Linked DNA regions of Ovis aries. The protein of the gene in region 4 purifies or fractionates together with the protein of the main gene of each other region. This does not show direct contact. Links are inferred from orthologs where the notes say so. Each region holds a gene or a part of one and is shown on either strand. Other genes may lie near its edges. The genes, in order: GAB1, NEDD9, GAB2, CRKL and RAPGEF1.

What was found.
Region 1: the proteins of CRKL (region 4) and GAB1 purify together in Homo sapiens (affinity purification with western blotting; 3 studies listed by BioGRID and IntAct, with this or other methods). This does not show direct contact. The link is inferred for Ovis aries from reciprocal best matches to the Homo sapiens genes CRKL and GAB1.
Region 2: the proteins of CRKL (region 4) and NEDD9 purify together in Homo sapiens (affinity purification with western blotting; 4 studies listed by BioGRID). This does not show direct contact. The link is inferred for Ovis aries from reciprocal best matches to the Homo sapiens genes CRKL and NEDD9.
Region 3: the proteins of CRKL (region 4) and GAB2 purify together in Homo sapiens (affinity purification with western blotting; 3 studies listed by BioGRID). This does not show direct contact. The link is inferred for Ovis aries from reciprocal best matches to the Homo sapiens genes CRKL and GAB2.
Region 5: the proteins of CRKL (region 4) and RAPGEF1 purify together in Homo sapiens (affinity purification with western blotting; 16 studies listed by BioGRID and IntAct, with this or other methods). This does not show direct contact. The link is inferred for Ovis aries from reciprocal best matches to the Homo sapiens genes CRKL and RAPGEF1.

What each region holds. Positions count from the first base shown.
Region 1 is NC_056070.1:14,613,738-14,619,735, forward strand, and holds the start of GAB1 (GRB2-associated-binding protein 1), read right to left. Parts: upstream 3,803-5,998; 5' UTR 3,467-3,802; coding exon 3,395-3,466; intron 1-3,394. UniProt on the Homo sapiens protein: Adapter protein that plays a role in intracellular signaling cascades triggered by activated receptor-type kinases. Plays a role in FGFR1 signaling. Probably involved in signaling by the epidermal growth factor receptor (EGFR) and the insulin receptor (INSR).
Region 2 is NC_056073.1:44,300,529-44,305,919, reverse strand, and holds part of NEDD9 (enhancer of filamentation 1), read right to left. Parts: exon of another isoform or gene 2,504-5,391; coding exon of another isoform or gene 2,501-2,503; intron 1,723-2,500; coding exon 1,276-1,722; intron 1-1,275. UniProt on the Homo sapiens protein: Scaffolding protein which plays a central coordinating role for tyrosine-kinase-based signaling related to cell adhesion. As a focal adhesion protein, plays a role in embryonic fibroblast migration.
Region 3 is NC_056074.1:15,344,312-15,349,702, reverse strand, and holds part of GAB2 (GRB2-associated-binding protein 2), read right to left. Parts: intron 2,236-5,391; coding exon 1,935-2,235; intron 1-1,934. UniProt on the Homo sapiens protein: Adapter protein which acts downstream of several membrane receptors including cytokine, antigen, hormone, cell matrix and growth factor receptors to regulate multiple signaling pathways.
Region 4 is NC_056070.1:72,321,512-72,327,341, reverse strand, and holds the start of CRKL (crk-like protein), read right to left. Parts: upstream 3,695-5,830; 5' UTR 3,293-3,694; coding exon 2,982-3,292; intron 1-2,981. UniProt on the Homo sapiens protein: May mediate the transduction of intracellular signals.
Region 5 is NC_056056.1:5,176,344-5,181,734, reverse strand, and holds part of RAPGEF1 (rap guanine nucleotide exchange factor 1), read right to left. Parts: intron 2,238-5,391; coding exon 2,149-2,237; intron 1,481-2,148; coding exon 1,328-1,480; intron 860-1,327; coding exon 736-859; intron 323-735; coding exon 139-322; intron 1-138. UniProt on the Homo sapiens protein: Guanine nucleotide-releasing protein that binds to SH3 domain of CRK and GRB2/ASH. Transduces signals from CRK to activate RAS. Involved in cell branching and adhesion mediated by BCAR1-CRK-RAPGEF1 signaling and activation of RAP1.

The DNA.
Region 1 (5,998 bases), about 58 Mb from region 4:
CTAAGCCCAGGCACCACTACCATTGAGCCTGTGCTCTGGACCCTAAGAGTCTCAACTATAAGCCGATGTGCTGCAACTACAGAAGCCTGTGCCCCTCGAGCCCGTGTTCTGCAAGAAGCCACCACAGGAAGAAGCCCCCGCCCCACAACTGGGGAGCTGCCCCAACACTCTTCAAGAAGAGAAAGCCCCTGCAGCAGCGAAGACCCAGCAAGGCCCAAAATACACAAACCAATACAATTATTTTTATCACATAGCCGGAGAATCTGCTCACTAGTCTTTTTCTTACTATCTTTTATGCTACTGTCACACTGTTTAGGAAATTCAAGAAAAACTTCCATAGCAGATGGACATACTAATATGTAAAAACAATGCTGCTGACTAATAAAAATTAAAAAAGCAAACATAAAATGGAGTTGTAAGTAGAATGCATTGGGGCCATAACTTGAGATGACTTTGGAGATAAAACTAAAACAATATTTTGTCACTTAAAAGCCCTGATGGATTCTCTTAATCAATGCTTGAACTACTCTTATAAATATTGGAAAACAGTGAGACAACTATCAAAGTCCTCTGGGCCAAGTGTTCCCCCCCCTCCAAATCAATGCCCAAAAACTCCCTGAAGTCTCCCTTAGCAATTATGGTACCAGGAAGTCAAGATATCTTATCACAGAGAATTTGTTCATTCAAAACCATTATCAAGCAACATTTTGCCTATTGGGTGGTCAACAATGTTTCCTTTCATCCAGAAAATAAAGATTTTACATGAAAACCAAACTCAGCAGAGGAGATGCATGTATATATATATGCCATATCTTTGAGGGGTAAAGATGTATTAGCCAAAACTATCTATATTGAATATCAGGCCAAACAGCAATCATCTGGAAACGTGAGAATCTTCTGGGCAATCACCTTGACAGTGCAAATTAAGACAAGCCTCAATTTAGCTTATAAGACTCCAGTAACTCTCTTGGACCCCTCAATTTTGGCAGCCACCCTCCCCATAGTCTTCCTGGGCTGTATCCATGGACTGATTAGTGTGGAAAGAAAACCCTAGTGTCCTGCCTCTCTCAGCTGTTAGGTATATTCAGCCCTCAGTCGACAACAATTGAGGGAGCCCACTGTTCCTCTGACGTATCCTATGATTTCCGTCTACATGAGCCTGTTCCTGAAAACATCTATGAAATGGCCATAGGGCTCAACTTGGGCACACAATTAGAAAGCACGTGGAGTTGCTGGCTTCCTTTTCTTTTTTTTAAATTAATTAATTTATTTTAATTGGAGGCTAATTACTTTACAATATTGTGGTGGTTTTTGCCACACATTGACATGGATATGGCTTCCTTTTCTACATATGCTTGTCCTGTGTTTCTTCAGCACTGCACCTCTGATCCACAGTCCACTCTTCCTTGCGTGTTATATCCACGGACTCACAGAAAGTCATAAACCTGAAAGGTCCTATCCACATGACCCAGCCTCAGCACAGCTTAAACTTGATAAGAGGCGTTCACCTTTTAAAGACCAGGCAGGCAGGCAGGCAGATCTGGGTTCAAATCCTGCTTCTGGCACACTCTGGTTCCGTAGATTGTGTTCTCATTTAAGACAGATAATAACTGCCTCATAAAACTGTTGTAATGATCAGATGAAATATTAAAATTCTTAAATTGAGAATTTCTATTTTCTTGGTCCAGTTAAGATGTAATTGTTTGGGCTGATTTTTTGTAGTACATTAAATTGCAAGCCCAAGAGACAAGGCTTTTTTTCCTGCTGGGTTTTTTTTTTTGTTTTTGTTTTTTTTTAATTTTATGGTCCCTAGTCTAGCGTGTGGCATCTTTTGAGAGAGCCATAAACCAAACATGTGAAAGAAAGCATTAAATCTCTATTACCACTACCTATTCCAGCCAATGTAGTGTTCTTTAGTTTCCCCAAGAATCAATCATTTCCTAAACAGTACCTTCTCAAAACAAATACATCAAACCACACCCTCTCCCCACATACATACACACAGAACTCCCAACTGAAAAACACACTGCCTCTCACCCCAACTTTTAGAATAAAGTCACCATATTTACCAGAATACTTGGGCAAACTGTGATAGATGGAGAGAGGGAATTTGGAAGAATTTTAAAAATCTCTGAAGAACATCCCTAGGATTTGTGGCATCAAATCCTTAAAGGAGAACTACTTGCCTATAGCAAATTCTGGCAGCAAGTAAACCAGAAACTCACTGGTGAGTTGTGGGCTAAGTTAAATATTGCACTTCACTCCGTTCTATGCAAGCAAACTGACTAACAGGGTTACCTCGAGCTCTCGCATTGGGTGTAGACATCCTTTCACAAGAAACAGGGTCCATTATTACTCTCCCCGTTAGCAAATTTATATTTAAGGGGGCACATACTGTGCTTTCGAGACATACTTTACTAGACAAATATTTGCTCCATAAGCGAGGGCAAAGGTGTCATTTCTTTCCTTTGCTGTGGGCAGCGACAGAAGAATCAATGGGGGAGAAGGGGATAAGATCCCAGACTCCCCAAAGAGGACACAGACTTCCGCTGCAGTAACGTTGGTTCTTTCAAGGAATACTTCCCCTAACGGCTAAAACGGCTTAACACATAATCAGCATCTTGTATCAATTACACAAATACCACGAAGCAACTGTGGTGGCCTGGGAAAGGACCATAACACACAGAACTCCTAACTGGCCTTCGCTGTCCCCTCCCACAGGGTTTGACAGCGTGTCCAAGGCGCCCGAACACCAGCCATCAGGCTCCCCCCAGCGCCCTCCTCTCGCAGCAAACTGCCAAGGCTCTCGGGCCAAACTCCAACGTCCCTCGATTCAAAACCGAGAAAGTGTGAACCCCGCTAAGCAAACGGTAGGGCGCGTAATAACTTTTTTTTTTCTTTTCCGTGGAGCGGATTGGAGATGCTCGGCTCTAACGCCAACTTCCCAGGTCTCCCGTCCGCTTTCCGAAACCATCCCGTGGGGAAGGCGGGAGGGAGGGCGGTCCAAAGAGAGGGCTGGTGAGTTTTAATACCTCCGTGGTTTTCTCAGTGCGGGAAATTTACTACACAGCAGCCCCTGAGAATTCGGTGCAGGTCTAACGAAAGGAAAATGCTCTCCCCCTCAACCCCTGCTAAAAGGAACAATAAAAAACACTCAGCAGGCGCTCAGCTGGCCATACCAGGCCTTCCTAAGGGCCGATGGAGAAAGAAATTTCTCCAGTCTGCAATCTGGAGAAAGAAAGATGCCTGGCCAAGCGGAGGCCCGGGCATGAGTGTCCAGCCTGGGTCCCCAGCCTGGCAGGGAAGGGGCCTACAGGGAAGGGATGGGGACTAAAGAGGAGCAGTCGGCACGCGAGCCGCCCAGGGAGGGTAACGGGGGCCGAGCTCTACTTACATAACGCTTTAACTTTTTCTCCGGGGGGGACTTGCGGAGCCATCCCGAGCAGACCACTTCGCCGCCGCTCATGGTGCGAGCCTTTAGGGCTGCGGGCCCGGCGCGCTCCCGACACCTTCGACGCCGGACGCCCGTGCAGCTGCTGGGACCTCGCTCTCCCGCGGCGCACCCCAGGCGGACGGGGCGGGCCGGCTCCGCGGCGCTCTGGCTCTTGGCGTTCGAGTTTCTTCCCCGCAGGCAGGTCCGCGGACGTGAGTAGAAGCGGGCACAGCCGCCGAGGCCGACACCTCGGGGCAGGGGCCGCGGCCGGGCCGAAGATGCCCAGGCCTTCCTTCAGTGCACCCGCCCGGCCGCCAGGCGCGCCGTCCCGCCGGCCGCCTCCTCTGCGCTCGGGCTCCACGGGACTCTGCCCCGGCGCGGAGCCCGAGCCTCGGCCCCCTGCGCTCCGCCCCTTCGGGATGGGACCTCCCAGAGCGCACTCCGAGACAGACACGACGCTGCACGCGCGCACACACAGTCTCACACGCTCATACACACACAATGCCCCCGCGCAGTGCCCACTCCGACTGGCCAGCTCTAGGTTTTACTGCGCTTGGCGCTATCCCCTCCTTCCTCCTTCTGGAGAGAGGGTGGGTCACTTCCCCGAGGCGCCCGGACCGCCGCAAGGAATGGGAAAGCCGCGAGGGTCCCGTGGTCAGCGGGCGCAGGGTTGAGGGTTGGTCCCGGGCCACGGAGGGAGCCGCCGGCTCGGCGTCGCTGGACAGAGCGCAGGTCCCGCCGAAGGGTGGGTCCGTGCTGGCCGCCGCCGCAAGAGAGAGAAAGCAGAGGGCGGCAGAAGAAGGAGGCGCTGGGCTGCTTGGCTGCGGGGACCAAGCCTACCGTCCCGTCCCCTAGCGCTGCTCCTGCGCCGCCTCCCCCACCCCAGGGCGCGCGGCAGGTTCTGGGCGGCCCGGCCCCCGGCCCCGATCCCTCCCTCTCCCGGCCTCCCGGCTCCCTCTTCCTCTCTTTCCTCCTCCCCTTCCCACGTTCGGGCCGGCTCCGGTTTCTGCCCAGACTTTCTTTGAAACTCCGCCGGAGCGCTTCCAGCCAAAACAACAAGGGCCAGGGAGGAGGAGACGGGCGGAGGGAGGGAGCGAGCGAGGGAGGGCGCGGGAGTCCGAGAGGCACCCTGGGATCTGTAGTTCGGGACGCTGGAGAGGGGTCCTCGGCGCCCCCGGCGGCCGTGGATCCCGGAGCCCCCGGCGGGCTGGTCGCCAAGGAAGGCAGCGAAGCCTCGCCGAGGGTAACGCCGCGCCATCTCGGGTTCCCGGGCGACCGAGGAACATTCGAAGGTTCAAGTCTGTGGATTGCCATCTTGGCTCAGCCGAGTGTCAGTTCGGAGTTTGTTCTGTGCGGGAGATCGGGAGTTGGGGGCGGGGGAGAGGGGGGCGGGTACTTGACAGCGTGGAAAGCGAAACAGCCTGGAGGAAGACCGCGCGCCCTGGAGAGTCTGCGATCCCGGGGTTTCTGCCCGCAAGACTGAAAGGCGGAGACCAGGAGGGCGAGGTCGCTGGGAGCGCGCCAAGGCGACCAGCCTGCAGGGGAGGTCAGAAGGGGACCCTTCCGGACTGATGTGTGCTGGTCCCCGGAGCAGCCTTGCCTGAGTGGTGGGAGCGCTTAGTGGACCCAAAGGATTCAGTTGAATCTATCTCTGGGGACATTTTGAAGCCTTACACTCCCTCCGTTTGTTGCCAGTTTCTTCCACTTGCCTTGGCTTTTATTTAAAATCAACTCTTGGGGTGTTGGACCAGAAAAGGGAACCTTCACTGGATGTCCTAATGCTATTTGTTTTCTTTTGTGTGTTTTACAATGACTATGATACCTGGCCCTGAGATTAACACGATCCTGTAAGAGAAATATCTTTTCCAATGTATTTATGAGAAACAAAGCCCCTAGACAGATTTTGGAACGTAGTGTAAATAATCAGATAAGAGTGCCAAACGTTTCTGGAAAAAATAACCTCAGGCTTGTTCTTGTTAATACAACATTCATATTCAGTTCCTCTCGAGTTTGAAAATGTTATACAATTGTAGTAGGAAATTAGGTGCTGGGGTGGTGACAAAGAAAGGTCCCTGCACTCAGAGCGGTGACATTTCTAGATAGTTAACAGGGTCAACGCAAGTACAGATTGTGATAAATGTGCCCTGGGAGAAACTGGAAGAATAATAAGGGTGGAACTAGGTCAGATACTAGGGGAGAAGTCTTCCTTAAAGAGGCAGCTAGCCAGAGATGTGAAAGATGTTGTAAAGATGTTGTCTTGTGAAAAGATCAAAGGGATAACCATAAGGAGGACTGAGAGAGAAAAAACAACCCAGGGGGCTCATTGTTTTTCTTAAATGTTAGAATACAAGTGAGTGTAATTTTTATGGCAGCTAATAAAGCAAAGCAATTTTTATGTGAACTCGGGTTTTACCACAAGCCATCCACAAGCCATCCATATGAAAATAAATCACTAAATTTGTTTTCTGCTTCTACCACAAGCAGTGTGTCTGTGCACTGAGTCAAAGTATTTCAGATTAGCATGGCAGAGACTGGTTCACTCTTGCATAGTTAACTGTTTGCTAG
Region 2 (5,391 bases), on a different chromosome or scaffold from region 4:
GTTCAATTCGTGGGTTGGGAAGATCTCCTGGAGAAGGCAGTGGCAATTCACTCCAGTACTCTTGCCTGGAAAATCCCATGGACGGAGGAGCCTGGTAGGTTACAGTCCATGGGGTCGCAAAGAGTCGGACGGGACTGAGCAACTTATGCCCATGACTATGACGTCTCTCGCTACAGCGTAAGTGTTGTGGAGGCCACATTCCCTCTTGGATTCATCAGGCTATCACAAGCATCGAAACTAGGCTAGATGCTTAAAACTCCTTCAATGGTCTGCTTATCTCAAATTCTTACAGCATTTGGAATTACAGAGAGTGCTGAAGAGGTCTTTCTTTCTTTTTTTTTAAGATTTTTTGATGTGGAGCATTTTTAAAGCCTTCATTGAATTTGCTACAATCTTGCTTCTGTTTCATGTTTGATTGTTTGTTTTTTCTTATCTGACAGGCACGTAGGAATCTTAGTTCCCTGACCAGGGACAGAACCTGCATGCACCCTTGCATTGGAAGGCGAAGCCTTAACCATTGGATCACCAAGGAAGTGCCCTCACCTTTTTTTTTTTTTTTTTTTAGTATGATGCCTTTCTAAATACCCTAGCTCCACTATTTTTACCCACCGCCTCAGGCATTGTTATAGGAACTACTAGAAGGACAAGAGGCTGGCTCTTCTCTGAATTCACTAGTCTCTGTGTTAAGTGAGTCGACCTTGAGGCTGATGGCTCTCCAGAACACGGTGGCTGGCTTCACCCACTCCCCCTTCCTTGCGGCCTCGACTTCTCGTGCATTCATGCAGCCAGCCGTGTGGTGTCATGGCCAGTGGGGTCATAATCGAGCTTTTAGTGAAAGGAGAGTCCTTGCTGCTTCACTATGCTTGTGCAAAGTATGGTGCCTTGTACTACTCAAGGGAGAAAGAGAAAAGACTGGACTGTGGAGTGCAGAGCCCACGTGTAAAAGCAGGGCTATCAGAAAGATGGGAACACTTGACGACGCGGTATAACCTGGCACAACTCGGGAACCTGTAAGGGCTATGGATCAACAGTACTTGGCATGGGGTGGGTGTTCAAGAAGGTTTTACTGACCAATGAATGGAAAAATGACTTCCCCTGTCAAAAAAAACGTGCAAGCTAGAGTATTCAGACATTCTTACTTCTTGGAAGATTTACTTACTTCTTCGACGGCTTCTTGGAAGCTCCAAGTTCTTATTTTAGGAGCACATAGACACATATTTTGATTGCAATGGAAAAAATTAAATAAGAAGAGAAATCCAGCTGTTGTTCACTCACCTTTTTACTTAGGTGGGGACCGTTAGCGCCCCCAGCGCCTCTCTGCCCTGAGGGTGGCACTTGATACACATCTTGTTCCTGGGTCCCATGGCCGGTGGGGACTTGGTAAATTCCCTGATTTTGGTAGGAAGGCGGCACTTGGTAGATGGTGTCTCGAGGGGCGCCCTGTGGGTTTGGTATTTGATAGAGCTTCTGTTGGCCAAAGGGCGGTGGCCCCAGTCCCGAAGTGGGCAGGTCCTGATTGGAGGAGGTCTCCTGCACTGGGCCAATCAGAAGCTTCACCCGGTTGCCGGGGACAATGCCCTGCCGGCCGTGTAAGGAGCAGAGCCACCATCCCTCCAGTCCTCCTGTGTTCTGCTCAATGACAGTCAGGATGTCTCCCTTGCGGAAAGCCAGCTCCTCGGCACACTCCGGGACATTGTCGTACAAGGCTCGGGCCATAAGATTCTAGGCAGGAAAGAAGAGAGGGGGAACGCAGGTTAGCAGATGAACTGAGTCCCTGAAACACCTAAGCCCGTGCTCTGATGGAGAGGCACACTTCCTGGAAAGAGGAGGATCCAAACAATGGGCTGTAAGGAGAAAAACAGATGGTGCAGACAAAAGACAGATCCATACGTACTGTGTCTGCCACCAATGACATCAGACCGCCTCCTCGGAAAAGCTCGGAACACCACCGAGTGCTGTGTTCCAACAGCAGAGGCTGTGCCAAGGGAATTACGAGGAGCTCGGCAAAGGAGCTGGAGAGCAGTTCACTCTACAAAGCATTTTTCTTCCTTGCTCCAATCCAGCCGAAGGAAGAAAAATATATTCCAAGATATTCAAATGGACTGCAACAGACATTTTTTAAAAGTATATTGGAGGTAAAGAGAGTCAAAGAACATTCCCCCCAGACAAACAGCACAAATGGCGTTTATATCCAGTATTAAAATGGAAACAGAAGTACACTGATCTCTGCCTTGGCAGGCCTTAACAATTCATACTCTCAGTTGATCAAGAGGTCTTCGGATACAGGGAGACTCTACAAGCGGGGGATGTTTCCATGATAATCCTGTGCAGAGTGCAGTGACGGTGGTCCACACCTCCAGACCCGAGCATGCGGAGCTCCAAAGAGGTTACCCCACGTGGGCAGGCAGAGGCCGCCCCGTCCCCTCTGGTACTTTGTTCCCACCTTTCCTGAGGGCCCCTCCTCACCCCGCCACTTTATTTCCTCCTCCTTGAATCTCACCATTCACATCGGAAAGGCTCTGCCTTCCCCTTTCATGGGCCCCAGACACTTTCTCTCTTTGTGTGAAGGCCTGTCTGGCACTTTCAGTACGGAGCAGCCAGCCAAAGCAGGCATTCGGCGGGGAGCGGGTAGGCAGGACATGCCGACGTTCTTGGAAGTCTTTCAAAGGCTGGGCGATTTCATTTCTTGGCATCAGTCACGTCTCGAGGCATGAGGGTAGCCTTCCCCACCCCGATGCCGGCTCCTTCCCAGCACACACAGAGCCCTGGAACGTTGCAAATTCATCTCCAGCCATCGGAAAACTCAAGACGGTCTCTTCAGTGCTTCACTAGACAGTTGGGATGCCCTCGATGTTGGGGTGATGATGATCGGCTGCGGGAGAAAAGACTGCCGATTGGATGGAGTGTGCTCTGATGACATACCCGTGGAATTTGGGGCTGTTGTTGTCTGGATTTCTGCCCCCGTGTTTTCTTCTCTAAAAATGTGAATTTGATCTTTCAGCCTCCTGCTTTTCAGCCCTTCATCACTGACATGCACGCACCATCTCCCCCTGTACTATGCCCCATAACCACAGGTCCTGTGCTGTGGGTCTGTCCCCTGCTCAGTGGTTGGGGAGGTTCCTACTTTTACTCTGTTAACCAAGCTCCTCTGAGTACAGTGCAACAGCTTAACAGGAAAGGAGAGGAGGAAAGGAGATGAAGCCCTGGAATTCAGTGCCCAGGAAGCCTGGTGATGCTCTTTAAGAATAAGACTGCAGTCCTTGTTCTTGACGGTTTTCTGATCCAGGAAGCCTGTAATGTAGACAGGAGGGCAGAAAAGGGAAGTTGAAGGATACTGAGGGGTTTGTGTTCCAGGTGAAAGCTGTACTTGGTATTTATATTCTAGGAAGCTTCGGGTTCCTTCTAACAAAGGTTCACACACAAAAAAATAAAAACACACAGCACTGTAACATGATGTGAGGAACCATTTAAGGATGAGTCCTAACCCGAAAATCTCTTACGTTTCTCTTCTCCCATCTTGTGGGTGATCTGTCCTTGAAAGAAAATTCATTGAGTTGAAGAAGACAAGACTCTTTTCCTCTGTATCTAAATGATGGGAAGGAAATTCAGTCAGTTCAGTTCAGTTCAGTCGCTCAGTCGTGTCCAACTCTTTGTGACCCCATGGACCACAGCATGCCAGGCCTTCCTGTCCATCACCAACTCCCGGAGTTTACTCAGACTCATGTCCATTGAGTTGGTGACGCCATCCAACCATCTCATCCTCTGTTGTCCCCTTCTCCTCTGGACTTCAATCTCTCCCAGCATCAGGGTCTTTTCAAATGAGTCATCTCTTCACATCAGGTGGCCAAAGCTTCAACATCAGTCCTTCCAATGAACATTCAGGACTGATCTCCTTTAGGATGGACTGGTTGGATCTCCTTGCAGTCCAAGGGACTCTGAAGAGTCTTCTCCAACACCACAGTTCAAAAGCATCAATTCTTCTGTGCTCAGCTTTCTTTATAGCCCAGCTCTCACATCCATACGTGACTCCACCAAAACTGTCCTGAGGTGACAGAGCAGGGAGAAGGCTGACCACTCTGGACTCTGTCCCTTTCTCCGAGGCCCATGCAAAGACTGGGAATGGCTGGCAAGGAGGCCCTAATGCCTCCTGACATCAGGAGTGACAGGGTTGGAACCAGATCTATGGGAGTTGAGGGTCCAGAGCTTGATACTGGTGATCAAGAAGGGAAAGAAAAGAAACAGAACAGGGACTTCCCCAGTGGTCCAGTGGATAAGACTCTCCCTTCCAATGCAGGCGGCCTGGTTTCCATTTCTGACTGGGCAACTAAGGTCCCCTATGTTGCTCGTGGCCAAAAATCAAAAACAGAAACAGAGGAGACTAGAAGCGTGAAAGACCACAAGCCTTATTTGCATACATGAGCTCCAGGCATCTGGAGCTGGGCACGGCTGTGGAGCTCTGGGAGGCACTGAAGTGGAGCCACGGGCCACAACCAGCTCGAGGCGGCTAGCAATCCCCGCATGAAGGCTAGTCTAGATGGTCTCTGCCTCTTGCCCCCATGACCCTCCACCACCACCAGCTAAGCCGCACGTTCAGGTTTCTAGACAGGCTGCCAGAGCCGCTTCTCGTGGAAAACCCAGGGAGCCGCTTGTGGACGCACCGTGGGTGTCTTCTGACTAGCTCCTCCTCCGTGCCCACAGAGACTGGGATTCAGGGAGTCCGGTGAGGCTCCCCTGCCAGCCTGGTGCCTCAACACTGAGAGTTCTTCTCAGCCTCGGCCTAACGGGAATAAGTTATTTACCACCTGCATGAGCTACAGGGAGCCAGCAGCCTCACACACAGAGGGGTTACAGCTCCTTCAGAGGACCTTCAGAGGACACTTGGACCCGGCCTCCCTGTTCCACAGATGAGGAAACACATCTGGCAGAGGGGACAGTTAATCATCTGCCCAAGGCCACACCTCGGTGGAGTCAGAGATGGGAACAGAACTGTAGTCTCTTGGCCTTCCAGGCCACCTTAGTTCTAGTTCATACTGTTCTGCAAACTGGGCTCCTTTCCATTTTACAGTAAAGCTTTGAAGACGACGATTCTTTTTGTCATGTCTAGGGAATAAGCCAATTCTTGGGGTTTGGGGTCTTGGCTGTGTGACTTGGGCAGATTACTCCCTTCAACCTTTGCACCAGAACTTCCTCATCTGTAAAATGAGAATGAGGATAATATCCCTATGTCATGGATTTGCAGTGAGGATTAAATGAGTTCATTCAAGTCAGTCCTTGAACATAGTGGGAGACTTGGGAAGCAGTGATGACTGTTTAATGTGTTGATGGTGCTTTGATGGTAAACTTCCTAGTAGGTTACCTCCTCAGTTCACAATCAAGGGTTGGTGATACTAT
Region 3 (5,391 bases), on a different chromosome or scaffold from region 4:
TAATAACGGTTACAAACGTGATTCACTGATCAATGCTAAAATTAGTGGGCAAAATTTTAAGCAGAAATGGGGTATTTGCACACCATTAAAGTACTTCCTGCAAAATATTTATTAACTGTGAAAGCATAGGTAGCAGCTTTACAGGGGAAGAAGGTGTCAGATGCCATCTTAACCAAGTGATGAAGGCAACACGACCAGTAATAAGGTATATTGATACCATGTGTCTCCTGATACAACGTGCAGAGAAAAGCACACTACCTCTGTGGTAGTCTCCGCCAAACCTTAATCTGATCATGAAAAAACATCATACAAATTCAAACTGAGGGAGATTCTACAAAATATCTAGCCAGTATGCCTTAAAAGTGTCAAGGTCAAAGAAAAACAAGAGACTAAGAAACTGGCATCCCAGATTGGAGGCCCTAGAGGCAGAACCACCAAATCTAATATGCTATCCTGGACTGAATCCTGAACAGAATAAAGACACTGGTGGAAAACAAGTGAAATCCCAATACACTGCAACTGACTGTCTTGTACCAATCAACATTTTGACAAGTATACTCTGGTTAAGAAAGATGTTAAGGTTAGGGAAAGCTGGATGAAAGGTACATGGGAACTTGCTGTACAATTTCTGCACCTCTTCTGTAAGCTCAACATTATTTCAGAATAAGAAACTGAAAAAAATATGCAGATTCTGATCCTGTAAGTCTGAGTGAGTAGAAGTCTTCTGTCTTCGTAACAAGTTCCCAGGAGAGGTTGATGCTGCTCGTCCATAAACTCCACTCTGATAGTAAGAGTCTGAATCAGTGGTTCTCAAACTTAACCATGCATCAGATTACCTGGCGGGCTGGTTAAAACACCTCCAGAGTTTCTGATTCACTAAGTCTGGGGTGGGGCTTAAGAATCTTCATTTCTAATGGGTTCCCAGATGAGGCTGACGTTGCTGATGAGCTAGAAACAGTTTTCATGTTTTTAAAGGGTTCTAAGAAGTTTACAAAACAGGTATAGGAATCAGAGATTGTATGTGGCCTTCAATTATTTACAGAAAATGGATGCTGAGCCCCAGACCCTTGCCACTTGGTGTGAAGCTTTTAAAAGACTGATGCCTAGGTCCCACCCCTGACATTCTTAGCTAACTGATGTGATATGGATCCCTAGCATCAACATTTAAAAAATGTTCCTCTTTAATTCTGATATGTAACCAGGTTTAGGAAACTACTAACTTAGGCTTTCCATCTGCCACACACACAAAAAGAACCCTACTCCTCAATCATCCTAGAGTTGTGGATGAGCCCAAACAAATGGCAAAGAGCATTTCTGCAGCTGAAGCCTCACTTAAAAATGGTGAGCTACTCTTTCTGTGAAGGCTAACAAAATCTGAACACAAGTCAGAATCTCCCCCTTCTCATGTGTCCGTTTCCAGGGAAATATAAAGAACAGTGGATTGTGCATCAACAGTACTCACAAAGAATCCCACACCTCCCCTTACCAGAAAAGCGGCTAGTGTAACTATGCACGTTGTTCTGAAACAGGAGTGGACAGAGGATGCATCAAAGAAGAGAGCAAGGTGCAAGCCGCCCGTGTGTGGGTGACAGGTTAACCAGGCACAGAGAGCTGGAGAGCTGAGGGGAGAAAGGGCAGGCCTGAGACACGGGGTGGCGCGGAGGTACCTGAAGAAATACCAGCAGCACCTCGAGCTTCATCATAACCCCAACATGCCTGCTTTCCACATGAGCAGACTCAGGGCTAGGAGGACCTCCACCCTGTGGCCAAGCCCTTCAGACTCCTCCCCTCTGCCTACTTCTCCCCCACCTCAGAGGACAGCCTTTAGCTAAAGCCTGCCCTGCTGTTCAAGGAGTCTGAAGGCCGTCCCCTTGGCCCCAGGGGCCCAGCCACTGCCAGGAGGCACCTGGTCCCTGCTGAGAAGCGTCTCGTACCTGTGCTCTCTTCTGCCTGGTTGAAGCCGCAGATCTGGCAGATGCTCTGGACCCACTTATTCATGTCCTCCTCCGTCTCGGCCACCAGGTAGAAGGTGCGCTCGCTGGTCTTGATGTCGAACACGAAACTGTCCTGCAGCTCCTTCTTGTTGAAGGTCAGGCCTGCATCCACCTGCTCGCAGAAGTTCAGGTTGATGATGCGCAGGGGCTTCTTGGAGTGATCATTCTTGTAGTATTCCAGGACGTCGGGGTCACCACTCATCCGGCCGCTCCGCAGGATAAACCAGCGTTTCTTCCAGGCCTGAACGGGAAGGAGTGAGAGCAGGGGGAAAGTCATGAGTCAATTCAAAGCTTTTCACAGGTCCTCAGATATCACCAGGCTAAGGGTGGGGACTGCTGCACCTGCCAGCCGAGCGTGGCCTCTGTCTCCTTTTTGTGCTTTCCCAGAGTTTAAAAAACAGCGGATGACTTTAGCATACACATTAGTGCAGCATTTCATTACTGAAACAGGGTCTTATCACTATGAAACGAGATACGTCATTTCAAGAAGTCAGATGAGGACTAACACACTTTACACAATTATTCCATTAAGCTAGAATACAGCCTCAAACTCACAGGACTTTTAGTCAGGGTGGAACTTGCAAAGCCATAACATCTCAGTTTACGGATGGGGTCCCCCACTAAGACAGACTGAGTTGAAGCCACAACGTCACATACAGCAAGTAGCGGAGAAAAAAGTTTCCAAGCTTTCAGTACCTGGTGCTTTTTACCCAATCATGATGCCTTGGAGGAACCACACAGAAACCCTTCTAAAACCTCCCTGAAGCACAAAACTTCAGAATTTCCCCCATCTCAGTCACTATATATAGTGGATAATACTATATCCCTAGTATTTATAATACAGCCCTGTACATAATAAGCACTCAATATACATTACTGAATGAATAAACTCCTTATGTCATGCCATATTATAGAATTTAACACTCAGTTACACATTTCCTTATGTTGTCTACATTCCCTGTCTTCAATGAGACCGAGTAATCTGTGAGCAGACATCACACAAAGTGGTAAAAAGATATCACAAATAAAACAGAGCCTCGGGTGGAGTCTGTGCTTCACCACCGACTAGCTGTGTGATTTTCACATAAAGTTATTTACCTCTTTGGAGCTTGCTTTATCTACAGAATAGAATACCATCACCAACTGTCCTACCTACCTTATAGGGTTTATACTGCACACAAAGCACTATGATGCAACCCTGCTGCTAAGTTGCTTCAGTCCTGTCCGACTCTGTGCGACCCCATAGACGGCAGCCCACCAGGCTCCGCCGTTCCCAGGATTCTCCAGGCAAGAACACTGGAGTAGGTTGCCTTTTTCTTCAGACGGCAGCCCACCAGGCTCCGCCGTCCCCGGGATTCTCCAGGCAAGAACACTGGAGTAGGTTGCCTTTTTCTTCTCCAATGCATGAAAGCGAAAAGTGAAAGTGAAGCCACTCAGTCATGTCTGACCCTCAGCGACCCCATGGACTGCAGCCTTCCAGCTCCTCTGTCCTAAAGCGCCACTGATGCCAAGGATCATCGCGGTTATTTAGACCTCACTGGGACTTCACTCCATGAATCCTGGCACCTTGCACTCTCCCCTTCTGTCTCCATCCTCACTTCCTTCCACCTGCCTTGTTCCTGTGATCCATCATTATAATCATTCTCTTGCTTCTCTTCCTCTCTTTATCTAGGAAACCATAACCTTTGACTAAGTCTAATGCTTAGCCTACTCTGCCTGTTTCCACTCAGCTGTTCAGAGCTGGAGAAAATCACACAACCACGCTGGCTCCTCTCACTTTAAGCTCAAGTGAGCCCTCCTGCTCCAACAGTCTACTACATTTGTCTGGTCCCTGATTTTCTGTTGCTCTTGGCAATCATCTGAACCTTGCCCTATTTAAAGCTGTAGCACCTCCACTCTTTGGTATGAGACTATACAGGCAAGCAGAAGAGAATCTACACATGTTCCATCCCCGTATTTACCAGTCTGCCTGCATTATAGCAAAGCAGTTTATTACTGTGCAGCATGGATGGTTCATCCAGTCTAAGGCCCACTTTCTTCCGCCAGAGCATCACCCCCTCTCACGACATGGGGACAGCACATGGCATCTTCCCTCCCTCCTAGGATCATTCCCATCAGGACACCAACTTGTCCCATCTCAGAAAAAAAAAAAAAGAAAAGTTTGACTTGATCCCACATTCCCTTCCAACTATGGCCCAGTTTTCTGCTCCTCTTTACAGAAAAACCTCAGAGATTTCTACAGTGTTAATCGTTGTTTCCTCTCCTCCCATTCTTTTCTTGGAAGCAATACAAGCAGGCTGCCCCCAACCCCCATCTCCTTCAACAGAGGTCTTAAAGACTTCAACACAAAGCAACATTTGGATTTTACTTGATCTCTCAGCAACATCTGAGAAAGTTTACTATTCCATTCTCTTTGAAGCATTTTCCTCATTTGGCTTCAGTGCTCACTCTCAATTTTCCTACCTCCCAGCTTCTCTTTTTCAGCTTCCAGTTCTGGTTGCTCCTTGTCTCACTGACTTCTAAAGGCTAGAACGCCCCCATGCTCAGTTCTTAGACTCTCCTCTTTCTATATCCTCTTCTTAGGTTATTTTATTTCATTTCACAGCTTTAAAAGTCATCTAACTGCTGTAATTCGCAAATTTATAGCTCCAGCCCAAACCCATCTATAGAACTCCAGAGTCTCATACCTGCTCCTCACTAATAGGCATCTCAAATCTTTCTTTAAAAACATATTTTATTTGTCTGGCTGCATCAGGTCTTAGCTGGGGCATGAGGAAGCTTTGCTGTGTCACATGGCATCTTTCATCAAGATGCATGGACTCTCTAGTTGTGCGCGAGGGCTCAGGGGCAACACCGCTCAGGCTGGGCTGCTCCACGGCACATGGGATCGTAGCTACCTAACCAAGGCTCGAACCCGCGCTCCCTGCTTTGCAAGGCAGATTCTTAACCACTGAGCCATCTGGGAAGCCCTGGCATCACAAACTTCCTTTAAACCGAGCTCTTCCCATCCTCCGAGTCTGTTCTTCCCGCAATGTTTCCCATCTCAGTTACGAGCAGCTCCAACCTTCCAGCTGCTCAGGCCAAAAATCTGGATGTCAGTCATCAACTTCCAAACCCAAGAGCAAATCCTGTTGGTCCAAACAGTTTCAAAACACATTTACAACCCGGTCACTCCTCCACACCTCCACTGTTACGCACTTGGTCAGGTCCACCGTTCGGCCGCCTGCCTGCTTCCATGCTTCCATCTGGCAATCTGTTCCCAGCGTGGAAGCTGGTGTCAATCAGAGCATAGCACTTCTCTGCATTAAGTGCCCTCTGGCTTTCCACTGCACTCAGAGCAGAAGCTGAAGTCCCCGCAGTGGCCAGTGAGCACTGGGCGACACCGCCTCACCCACAG
Region 4 (5,830 bases):
CTAACACTGAACAGAACTTAACAGAATCTTGGAAGTGTTCACACTCAAGTAAGATGGAGGTGAAGTGTCTGTTTATGCAACAAGCTTCAGCCTACAAGCTGCACCCGTGTGCGGAAAAAGAATCCTTTAAAATCTGTCATTGGAAAACCAGAAGCCACTGACACACCTTAAATGTAAGATCCAAGACAGGACTGAATAGTGCAACTCAAAAGGCAAAATTAACAAGACAACCCAGAGGACAGGCAGCTGCAAACACACCAAGTCATCTGCCTCTTCCTTCCTCCTCTCCGTTCCCCTCCCATCAGCAACCGTCTTCAAACCACAGCCGTCCGTCAGCCCTGCCAGTCAGCCTGCGGAACGTCTCTACTACAGATGGACGCACGGACGGACGGACAGCTCACCAATCGTCATCACCGTGACCTGGATTGCAATAATGGCCCAGGTCACTTCCTGACTGCAAACTCCCCCCTGGCACCCCACTTCCTTCCTCTGAGCAGCCGATTCAAGCTGCCTCTGCAGAGCCACGGCCCTGGCGCGGCTGGCTCCCCACCCTGGGCGCCCTCTTGGCTTCAGCCCTGCTCTGACCCTCCTGCCTCAGGTCAGCCCCGCCTGCTAGACCCCCTGCCCACGTGGACTTTCTTCACACCGACCAATGCTGTCTTTTACTTAAATCTCTACTTTCCAGCCTGTCTCCTCACTGACATCTAAGGCCCATGATGGAGAAAGCACGTCACCCCTCTCTCCCAGTACGCATCCCTGGGATTAACTCTCCTGTAATGTCTGGACAAGGACGTACACTGTGAAGTTAAGGGGGCGTCCCTGTGGTGCAGAGGTTGAGACCCCAGCTGCCACTGCCAAGGGCTCAGTTTTGGTCCCTGGCCAGGGACTTTGGCTCCCACACGCTGCACGGCCAAAAAAAAAAAGCTACTCCCCCAACAAAAAAAAGAGATCAGTCCTTAAATTCTGAGGAAGCCAGTAAGTCGTCACTTTTTACTGAGCAAAATGAACCCCAAAAAATAACTATTAGCCAAAGCGCAGAAGCTCTGGCTTCAGGAGCTCGGTTCTGAGGCCTGAAAGAGCCTAACCACTTCATCCATCCTGCCTGGGGCGTGGAAGCACACGGCCCTGATTTTTGCCTTTGGCCAAAGCTGGCCCGGCCTTGTCTTCTACACTAGCTGAGTAATAAGCGCATCACACAGATCCGCGGGTTTCTGGCTCCGGGAGAGGCGATCCAGGTTCAGTGTGACCAAGTGAATCCTGCCAGGATCTCATTCAACTGGGGCAGCGGCAGCCCTCGGAGACACCAGGGGAAGGAAAACTCGACGGCAGCGGGACGCCCGGGGCAGCGGGCGGAGAAACAGCAAAGCTCAACTGGAGGCGGGGGCAGCGCCAGGGAAAGGCCCCAAGGGCAGGGAGGCGCGCCCGGTGAGGGGCGGGTGGGGCCCGAGCAAAGGTCCTCCGGCGCGAGTGGGCGTGTAGCGCGGGCTCCCTGGAGGCGGCGGGAGAGGGTGAGGACGGGCATCTGGGAAGCAGCACGAAGGGAAAGCTGGGGGTGGCGGCTGCGGGCACTGGGAAGCCAGGGCCGCGCCCCTTTCTCTCCACCCAGAGGGGCTCGAGTCCCTCCCTCACGGCTGCACTGAGGCGCGCGGCGAGGCCCAGTCAGTGCCCGAGAGAGCGCTCAGTCACCTTCACAAGCCAGAAGAGCCAGTTACGCGAACGCAGCTGAAGCCTCACCACTGCGGGAGCCGAGAGCCCCCAGCCTCTCACGCTGGAATCACACTGTGCTGAGCGCTGCCTCTAGCTCCCAGGCTCTTCGGGGACCTGGAGGCCTCGCCAGTCAGACTCGCCGCGGCTAGGCCTTTGTTACGCAGTATCTGATTTATAATCCCTGTCTCCCAGCTTTTAAAGTCCATTTAGCTCAGCAGTTAACCTCCTGGTCATTACACCGCGAGGGCTTCATTCTTCTCTACCTCTAGTCCACAGAAGCATCCAGTGCGTCCCCCTTTAATACGACAGCTTCTCATGTTCAGAGCTGAGACTACTATCTTGTCAGCAGATCTATCAAGTCAGAACCATCTCACCCTGAAAAAAACCTGTATTAGCACCCTGTCCTTTCTAAGCAGACGCTTGAAAAGATCAATACCTTTTATTTTTAAAACCCTACGCCATCTCTTTAGCTCAAGTTTTGCATAATCTGCACAAAAGAAGCCTCGAGCAAAATATTAAGGCCAATAATGAAGCCCAAATGAAAAGGGATGCCCAATGCTCAGTGTCACTCTGGGTTATTTTAAAATAGATACTAAGTCATGCAACTCAGTACAAAAAGGACATCTGAAATTCAACTAGCGTAGAATCTTCAGTGGAGTGTCATTCAAAATTTCCTCTTAGTAACAGTCTAGACTCATTCCACCTTGGAATTTAACCAAATGGATTTCCAGTCCATTAAAGGCCCAGCTTGGGGGAAATCTATTAAAAAAAAAAAATTCCTCGTTCAAGCCGACCTCTTCTACAGTATTTTCAGTTAATGTGTTATAAAACAGACGCCTGGCTTATTTCAACCCTGGCACCAGGCTATCAATATATGGCCCTGATATTTCACAGGTAAAGGCATTTCGTTTCTACCTGCGAAGGCATTTCCATCTCTAGAGTTTCCAAAGGCTGCCGTCCGGGAGGTCCAACCCCGGAGCTCAGAGACCCTGAAAGCGGTGCAAACTCGGGAGGGCGGGGGGCAGGGAGGGGCCCGCGGGGCGGGGAGCCGAAGACTAGCTTCAGAGTCTCAACCCGTGGCCCCAAACCGGCTGCAAGACCGGGAGCAACGCCCTGCTTCAGCAGGTAATTTGCACCGAGGACGCGACGAAGGGCAGAAAGCGCCCCTTTTCCAACTGGGCGCCCGCAGCGCGAGCTGCCGGGCCCGACGCACCGCCCTCACCCACGGCGCCCCCGGCCGGCGCCGCCGCGCCGAGCCCCGCGGCCCCGCGCACCTGGGCGCCGGCTCGATGAGCGTGGTGGTGTCCAGGTAGTGGATCTTGTAGAACTCCAGCAGCGCCGGCAGGTGCTCGAACTCCTGGTCCCCGATCTTGAAGCGGCGGTTGGGCAGCGAGTTGATGATGTAGTGGGACACCCGCGAGTTCTCGGACACGGACAGCACGTAGTCCCCCGGGCAGGTGGACGAGTCGCGGACGAGGAACACGCCGTGGCGCTGGCCCTGGAGCCGCGTCTGCGCCTCCTGGCGGGACACGGGCCCCATGTACCAGGCCGAGCGGTCCGAGGAGTCGAACCTGGCGGAGGACATGGCGGGCGGCGCGCGGGGGGCCGGGCGGGCCGCTCTCGCCGGCGCTGGGGGCGCCCCGCCCGCGGCGGCTGCGCGCCGGCCGGGCCTCGGGCTCACCGCGCGCCTACAGGCCCGCGCCCGCGCCTTCCTCGCGGCCGCGGGCCCGCAACATCCTCCGGGCCGCCGGCCTGCTCCGGGGCCGCCGCGCGGGCCCAGCCGGCTCCGGGCGCGGGCCCGGCCGAGCGCGGCGAGGGCGGCTCGCGGCGCCTCCGCTCAGCCCTGGCCCCGGCGCGCGGCCGGCCCCGCGTCCCCGCCGCTCCGCACCGAGCCCCGCGGCCGCGCCGAGCCGCACACCGCCCGGGAGCGCCGCGCCGCCGGGGCCGCCGAGCCCTGCCCCGCTCCCGAGAGCCACAGCAACAAAATGGCGGCCGCGGGCGCAGCGGCGGCCACCTCCCCCGCCCCCCCCCGCGCCCCGCGACTGCGCACGCGCGCGCGCCCGCTCCCGGCGGCCGCCGGCGCCGCCCCGTGACGTCACGCCGCGCGGCCAATCGCGAGGGCGGGCGTGCGCCGCCCGCGCGCGGCGCCGCGCTCCCTCCCGGGCCCGCCGGGGGGCGCTGCGGGGAGGCGGCGCTTCTGGAGCCCGCTCCGGGAACAAAGCGGGCGGCGCGGGCCAGGCCCGGCCCCCGGGCGCGGCCCCGGGCCGTGCGCAGCCGGGCCGGCCAGGTTAGGGGGTGGCGGGGCCGACCGCCGCGGGTGCTCAGGCGGTGGCTGGCGAAGCTCCCGCGTCCTCTCGGAGCCCTTGCCGCCTTGGCCCCCCCAGGACCCCCGCCGCAGAAGCCCCGGCCCCTGGCCGCACCCCCGTCCGCGCCGGACCGTCCGTTTCACGGGAGCGGGGTTTGGTGCGCCTTGTTCAGCCCTGGGCCTGGCGCTTCTTCGCCCCGCCCTACGCTGATCTCAGACCTGGGCGGAATGAATGACTGTCGGGGACCCCCCGCCCCCGCCCCCGCCGGCCGGTGGAGGCGCCTGTCCAGAGGGGCATCGGAGCCCGGCTCTAGACTCCTGGGGAGCCGATCTCGTTGCTGGGCTGAGCCTGTCCTGCACTGTAGGTAGGGCAGGCGTCCCCAGCTTCTGCGACCCAGTGCCTGATGACGGGAGGTGGAGCCGATGTAAGAATAACAGAAAGAAAGTGCAGCGTGAAAGGAATGCGCTTGAACCATCCCCCGCCCCGAGGAAAAACTGTCTTCCACGGAAGGGTCCCTGGCGCCCAGGATGCTGGGGACCACTGTCGCAGCGTGATGGCTGACGTTCCTTCCGGGTAAACTCAAGGGGAATCGTCACGGCCTAGGGCCTTTTGTGACTCAGCAAAGCAGGTTTTCAGCTTCCCTCCAAATACTTTCGCGTCGTGTTACTTTCGGGCACAATTTGAATAGCTCAGAATTTGAAGAGGAAGGCTTGAGTTCCAATCCTAACCTGACTTACCAGTTGACTGTATCATTCCTTGTCATATTTTTTTCATCTTCTAATATTAATTTTTCTTTCAGTTTTATAGAGAGATAGTTGACATACAGCACTGTACAAGTTTAAGGTGTACAGCTTAATGGCTTGACTTGCTTACATCATAAACTGATTATCATCACCATAAGTTTACATATAGATACAAAATTAAATACAAAAAAAATGTTTAGTGAGCATCTCAAAGATACACAATTATATCTCAGAGAAGTTATCATAGGTTGTATGCTTTGCAAGAGGCACTCAGGGAGGTCTTTTGAAGTCCAGGACTCATTTCAGTGTTACACAATTATTGCCTATAAGTTAGTCCATTTTGCTTGCTTTGCTAATGTGTGTGTGTGTGTGTGTGTGTGTGTGTGGCGGGGGGAGCTATTAATTACATTATTCTACTTTTGTGTATGTTTGGATTTTTTCACAATAAAAATAATTAAGTAATTTCTTATTTTTCCTTAGCACAGCTGAAACAAGCTTAAAAACTTTTTCCCCCAAAAAAACAGCCTAGCCACTAAGAGGTAATGAAATGGAAATGAAGGGGACAAACGACAAGAAGCTTTAAAAAGGGGCCATAACGTAAAAAAGATTTGTGATTCTGCTCTAGCTTGCTCTTCCCGAGGTTTCCAGGTAGCATTGTACTTACTCTCTTCTAAGATAGTTAGTTTAGACTCAATTGACAAGGCTTTTCCAGCAACTTGCCAGGGTTCCTGTCCCTGAGGCTGCCTCTGTACTGAGGATTCAACGCCAGCTCTCTTTTGTGGCCTCGCCACGTGGCATGCAGGGTCTTAGTTCCCCAACCGAGAATCAGACCCGCAGCCCCTGCCTTGGAAGACAGGGTCTCAGCCACTGGGCCGGCAGTGAAGTCCCCTCACCGAGGAATCTTTTTAATTATGTGTTTGTTTCCCTTTTCTGTGCGGGGTCTTCATGGCTGCACGGTTTTTCTGCACTTGCGGCGAGCGGGCTTCTCGTTGCGGTGCCTCCTGCTGCAGGGAAGGGCTCCAGAGCGCAGGGCGCGGTGGTTGTGCCGCTGCTGCCCAGCTGCTCCGTGGCTTG
Region 5 (5,391 bases), on a different chromosome or scaffold from region 4:
TGTAGAAGAGGACACCGTGGCTCAGATCCTGATGAACTTAAAGTCAACAAAGCCAGCGACTGGCCTCACCATCTGACCTCACAGGAGCCACCAGGAAGTGTGAAGCTGGCGGTGGTGATATGCATGCCCATGGCTCACCTAGTGTTTCACAGCTTGTGTTCCGGGAGCACTGCCCACTGTCCCTGTCCAGAGAGGACAGCTGCTCGTCCGACTTGCTGAGCTTGCCGATGCTGCTGCAGGGCGACAGGCGGGGAGACTCACCGCTGTATGAGTGGCTGCCTCCCGACAGCCGTCTCTGTGCGTAACAGTCCACGTCAAAGTCCTCGTGTGCAAAGTGAGAACAGGCCCAAGTCACTGCTGAGGGGTGGCGGCTGAGCCCAGGGGAGGGAGCAGGTGCGTGTACTTGGCGAAGGAAATACTGGGACGTGCACAAACTGGCTGCAGGCAGTGAACACCACGTACGCAGCGCCTCCGAGACAAGGGGCCTCTACAGGCGCTCGGAGTGAGTGCTCTGATCGAGGGAGGCCCTGGGCTGGGCCCCGTCTCCCCACCCTGGGAGGGAACCCCACCACAGCCTGCAGAGGGAAGGACCACTCAGGAACGGGGGCTGCCCAGGGAGAGAGCTCCTCCCTGTGACCAAAGACAGGGACTTAAGACCACTGGGCTTCTTTCAGTTTAGGAACCGATGCACCAGACCCGAAGTCCACCTCTGCCTTTCTGGATGGGGCTAATTACCTGCCTATTAATTCCAACAGGCAAACTGGAGCCACTGGTGGCTCGACTCATGGGGGCCACGACGGCCACACGGGTGGGGGATGGAGCCGACTGTCTCTTCTTCGGGGGCAGTGCTGGTGGAGGACTGAAACAGAGCAAGGAGCCCATCAGACCAGACAACCCGAACAAAAGCCTTTATACAGACGCCAGGGTGTGGGGTGGGAGGCTCTTCATTGTTAGACACTGGTCCTACTTTCCACCCTTTCAGCTCCCACCCCACTCCCCTTCTGCCAAAAGCCTAGCGTCTGAAAGTCCCTGCTCTTTCCTTTCATGACAAACGGTACCAGGTTCTGCTTGGCTAGGACTAAAAGCCAGCGGCTGGGAGTTCTCAGGGCGAGGGGGCAGGGGAGGGCGAGGGGGCAGGGGAGGGCGAGGGGCCAGCACCGGGCCAGACTCCTGTCCTCTGGAGGCAGCGTCCCGAGGAAGGTCAAACCACCAACGTGCCTGAAGAGTAAGTTCTTCCCCTAATGGCACCATCTTCTTTTTGGCTGGCACCATCCATTTGTGAAATTACAACAGAAATAGATGAGAGAGCTAGGAAAATAGAAGGTACCTGTTATCAACCACCCTAATGCCAGGTAAAGGGGGCTTGGGGGGTGCAACCTCTTCATCCATAGAGTCTGGGAGCCCCTCGGTTGACTGTGACAGGCCGGTTGTCTTGTTTAGTATCTCCATCTCTCGATCCGTCAGGGGGAGCTCAGACTGGCTGGAGGGTTGAGGAGAACTCGGGGTTACAGAAGGCCCCAGGGTAAGCACAGACCCTGAGAGTGTCAGGATGTGACCGGGGCAGGGAAGTGTCCAAGGGGCCCAGGACACAGAGCCAACACTATGCCCAGGGCTCCATGGCAAAGATGGGGTTTCAAGTCCAGTTCGATCACCCACAGAAGCTTGGCCATGGCCCCTGAGTCTGCACCTTGGTCTCCTCATCTATGAGAGGGATCTCTGGACTGCATGATGCTGGAAAATGGCCCCAAATGAAGGTGTCATTTTTTTCACTAGGGGCTGCGAGTAGAAATTATTGCAAGGCCTTAAACTGTCCACATCACCCTCAGTAATGCTCTCAAGCCAAACCCCTAAAGACTCAATCTGTCAAAGCTGTTCCTCATTACGGGAGGAAGCGGGCCAAGCAGAGTGCAGGTGGGGTCACCCTGCGTATCACACGGTGCCCTGAGAGAAGACCGTGTTGAGACCAGACAACCATTCAAGATGGGTGCGAGCTACGCACACTTCACGGTAATCTGGGCTCTTACCCAGAGGCCACTGAAAAGGGACCACAGGCCTCACAGGACACGGTCTGCCTGGCAGGGGCTCCCTTCTTTCTCAAGTGTCCACCGACCGAGACCGCAACCCCTGGAGGGCTTAGTCAGCACTCACCTGTCAGGTTTGCAGGCTGGGGAGCTGGGTTTCACGGGACTTGTTGGAGACGGATGCCCCTGCTTCTCGATGGTGAGTCTGACCAGCTCCTACCCCCACACAAGAGAAACGAGGTGAGACACGAGGAGCGCTCCTCACGCTGAATATCCTGACAAGGTGGCCAGCTGTCTGCCCTCCACCACCCGGAGTCCCCACTCACCCTATGGGCGAGTATTGTTTGACTCAGGTAACCTTCATGACTTCCCAAAACAATGCCCTACCCGCCCAAAACACCTCCACAGCGCGCAGAGAGGTTTCGCATGCATAAAGATACTTCCTCTTGGGAGGGAGAAATGACCAGCCCACTGTCTCAGAATGACTAACTTCATCACACAAACTCCTGGCAGTGACTCCCAGTTGGTTTGTGGAGAAGGACCTGCTCTGAATTCTCTGAAGCCAGGACGCTGCCTACTAACGATCAAGCTTGAGGTCTGGGGTAAGGTGGTTTCCCAGAGTGAGCTGTCTGTGGGTGCAGCATCGGTGGGTATCCAGAGATGAAGGGTGGGGATCTTTGTCACCGCACAGAAAGTTCAAGGCTTATCACCTAGCAGAGAAATGACTTTCAAAAAAAAGTTTTTTTTAATAGGAGAAAAAAAAAAATTAGGGTTTACTTGGTTTTCTTTCAATGCTAATGCATTTCCCCTGACTTTGAAGAGTTTTGATAGCTGCATATACCATATAAGGCCCACTCAAAAAATACAGAATGAGAGACTTCCCTGGTGGTCTAGTGGCTAAGACTCTGTGCTCCCAATGCAGGGGATCAGGGTCTGATCCCTGGTCAGGGAACTGGATCCCACATGCCGCAACTAAGACCCAGCACAGCCAAATAAATAATTAAAAAACAAACAAACAAAATGTTTCCAGCACTCTCTCTAGTCTATCTGCCCCTCCCCCACTGACTGCTTTCCCACTTCTGTTTCTTGGATCACTTCTGCCCAGGACTTGATATAAGTGGAACCACACAATATGCGCTCTTTTGTGTCTATCTTCTTTTTCTGAACAGCTTTATGCCATAGAATCCAGCCATTCAAAGCATGCAATCCAGTGGTCTTCAGTCTGTCCACAGTGTTGGGCACCATCAACACAGTCAACTTCGGGGCTCATTGTTACTTCAAAAGAAGCTTTGCGTCTCTAGGGGCCCCTCACAGCCACTAGTCCACTCTCTGTCTCTGTTCATCTGTCTTCTTTTGCTCAGTGTGAATGGCTGTGTCTCTGTGTGATCCTTGCTGTTGCTGAGTTATATTCCAGTGTATGGATAAACCAATTCCTTCATCCATTCTCCTGCTGATGCACTCCTGGGTAGGACCTTCCTGTGTCTCATGAGAAGGTCAGGCTTTCATCATGAACAACTATTTCTAAAATTACAGAGGAGGCAGCAGTGGGAGAAAGCGGGACACCATGGCAGTGTGCCCCTAGATCAGATTGCAAAGCTTCTCCAGCTAAAAACACCCTTCCCACCAACCTCAACAAGTATGCTAAGGCAAAGACTTAATACCTTTCATGGTATTAATTTCCTTCATGGAACAAGCGTTCTTTGAAAAAACACAAAAACTAGAAAAAAGGTGAACACACCAAAAAAAATACCAAAGAAATTCACAAATGTAAAAACCAATGGTCAATAATCATTAGAAGTTCTCTAGTTCTGATGGTAATAAAAGCAGAAACTTTCAGACTTCCATGATAGAGGGAAGCAATGATTTGGGGAGTCTTTCTAAAAGATGACCACTTGTCAGTTCACATCAAAAGCCTTAAATATCTGCATATATTTTATAACAATTTAACCCAAGGAAAATAACATGGATATGTAAAAAAATTAAGCCACAAAGAATGGTCACTGTAGCATTCTATGTCACAGATAAAATCAGACTAGTCAATATTCCAGAATTAAATATTCACTACTAGGTACTGATACAGGTCAGGAAGCAACAGTTAGAACTGGACATGGAACAACAGACTGGTTCCAAATAGGAAAAGGAGTACGTCAAGGCTGTATATTGTCACTCTGCTTATTTAACTTACATGCAGAGTAGATCAAGAGAAACACTGGACTAGAAGAAGCACAAGCTAGAATCAAGATTTCTGGGAGAAATATCAATAATCTCAGATATGCGGATGACACCACCCTTATGGCAGAAAGTGAAGAAGAATTAAAGAGCCTCTTGATGAAAGTGAAAGAGGAGAGTGAAAAAGTTGGCTTAAAGCTCAACATTCAGAAAACGAAGATCATGGCATCTGGTCCCATCACTTCATGGCAAATAGATGGGGAAATGGTGGAAACAGTGCCTGACTTTATTTTGGGGGGCTCCAAAATCACTGCAGATGGTGACTGCAGCCATGAAATTAAAAGACACTTACTCCTTGGAAGGAAAGTTATGACCAACCTAGACAGCATATTAAAAGGCAGAGACATTACTTTGTCAACAAAGGTCCGTCTAGTCAAGGCTATGGTTTTCCAGTAGTCATGTATAGATATGAGAGTTGGACTATAAAGAAAGCTGAGCGCAGAAGGATTGATGTTTTTGAACTGTGGTGTTGAAGACTCTTGACAGTCCCTTGGAGTGCAAGGAGATCCAACCAGTCCATCCTAAGGGAGATCAGTCCTGGGTGTTCATTGGAAGGACTGATGTTGAAGCTGAAGCTCCAATACTCTGGCCACCTGCTGCGAAGAGCTGACTCATTTGAAAAGACCCTGATGATGGGAAAGATTGAGGGCAGGAGGAAAAGGGGACGACCGAGGATGAGATGGTTGGATGGCATCACCGACTCAATGGACATGGGTTTGGGTGAACTCCGGGAGCTGGTGATGGACAGGGAGGCCTGGTGTGCTGCAGTTCATGGGGTCGCAAAGAGTCGGATACGACTGAGTGACTGAACTGAGCTAGGTACTGATTACATAAATTATGATAGAATCAAACAATGGACCATTATACTACTATTAAGAAAACTCAGAACAAGAATATATGATAGTGTGAAAAGACAATACAATGTTAAATGGAAAAGAACCCACCAGATGGCACACTGGTGTATACACAGTATGTTTTGGAAACAAAACACAACCAAGAACACATGTATAGAAGAAAAGATGGCTACGAAACACCCCTTATTTTCTTGCTTTTGCCTCTCTGCTTTTTCTTGATTTGCTACAGTGAACATATAGTAATTCTGAAATACCAATTAAAAGAGAAAACAGGCATACTCCACATA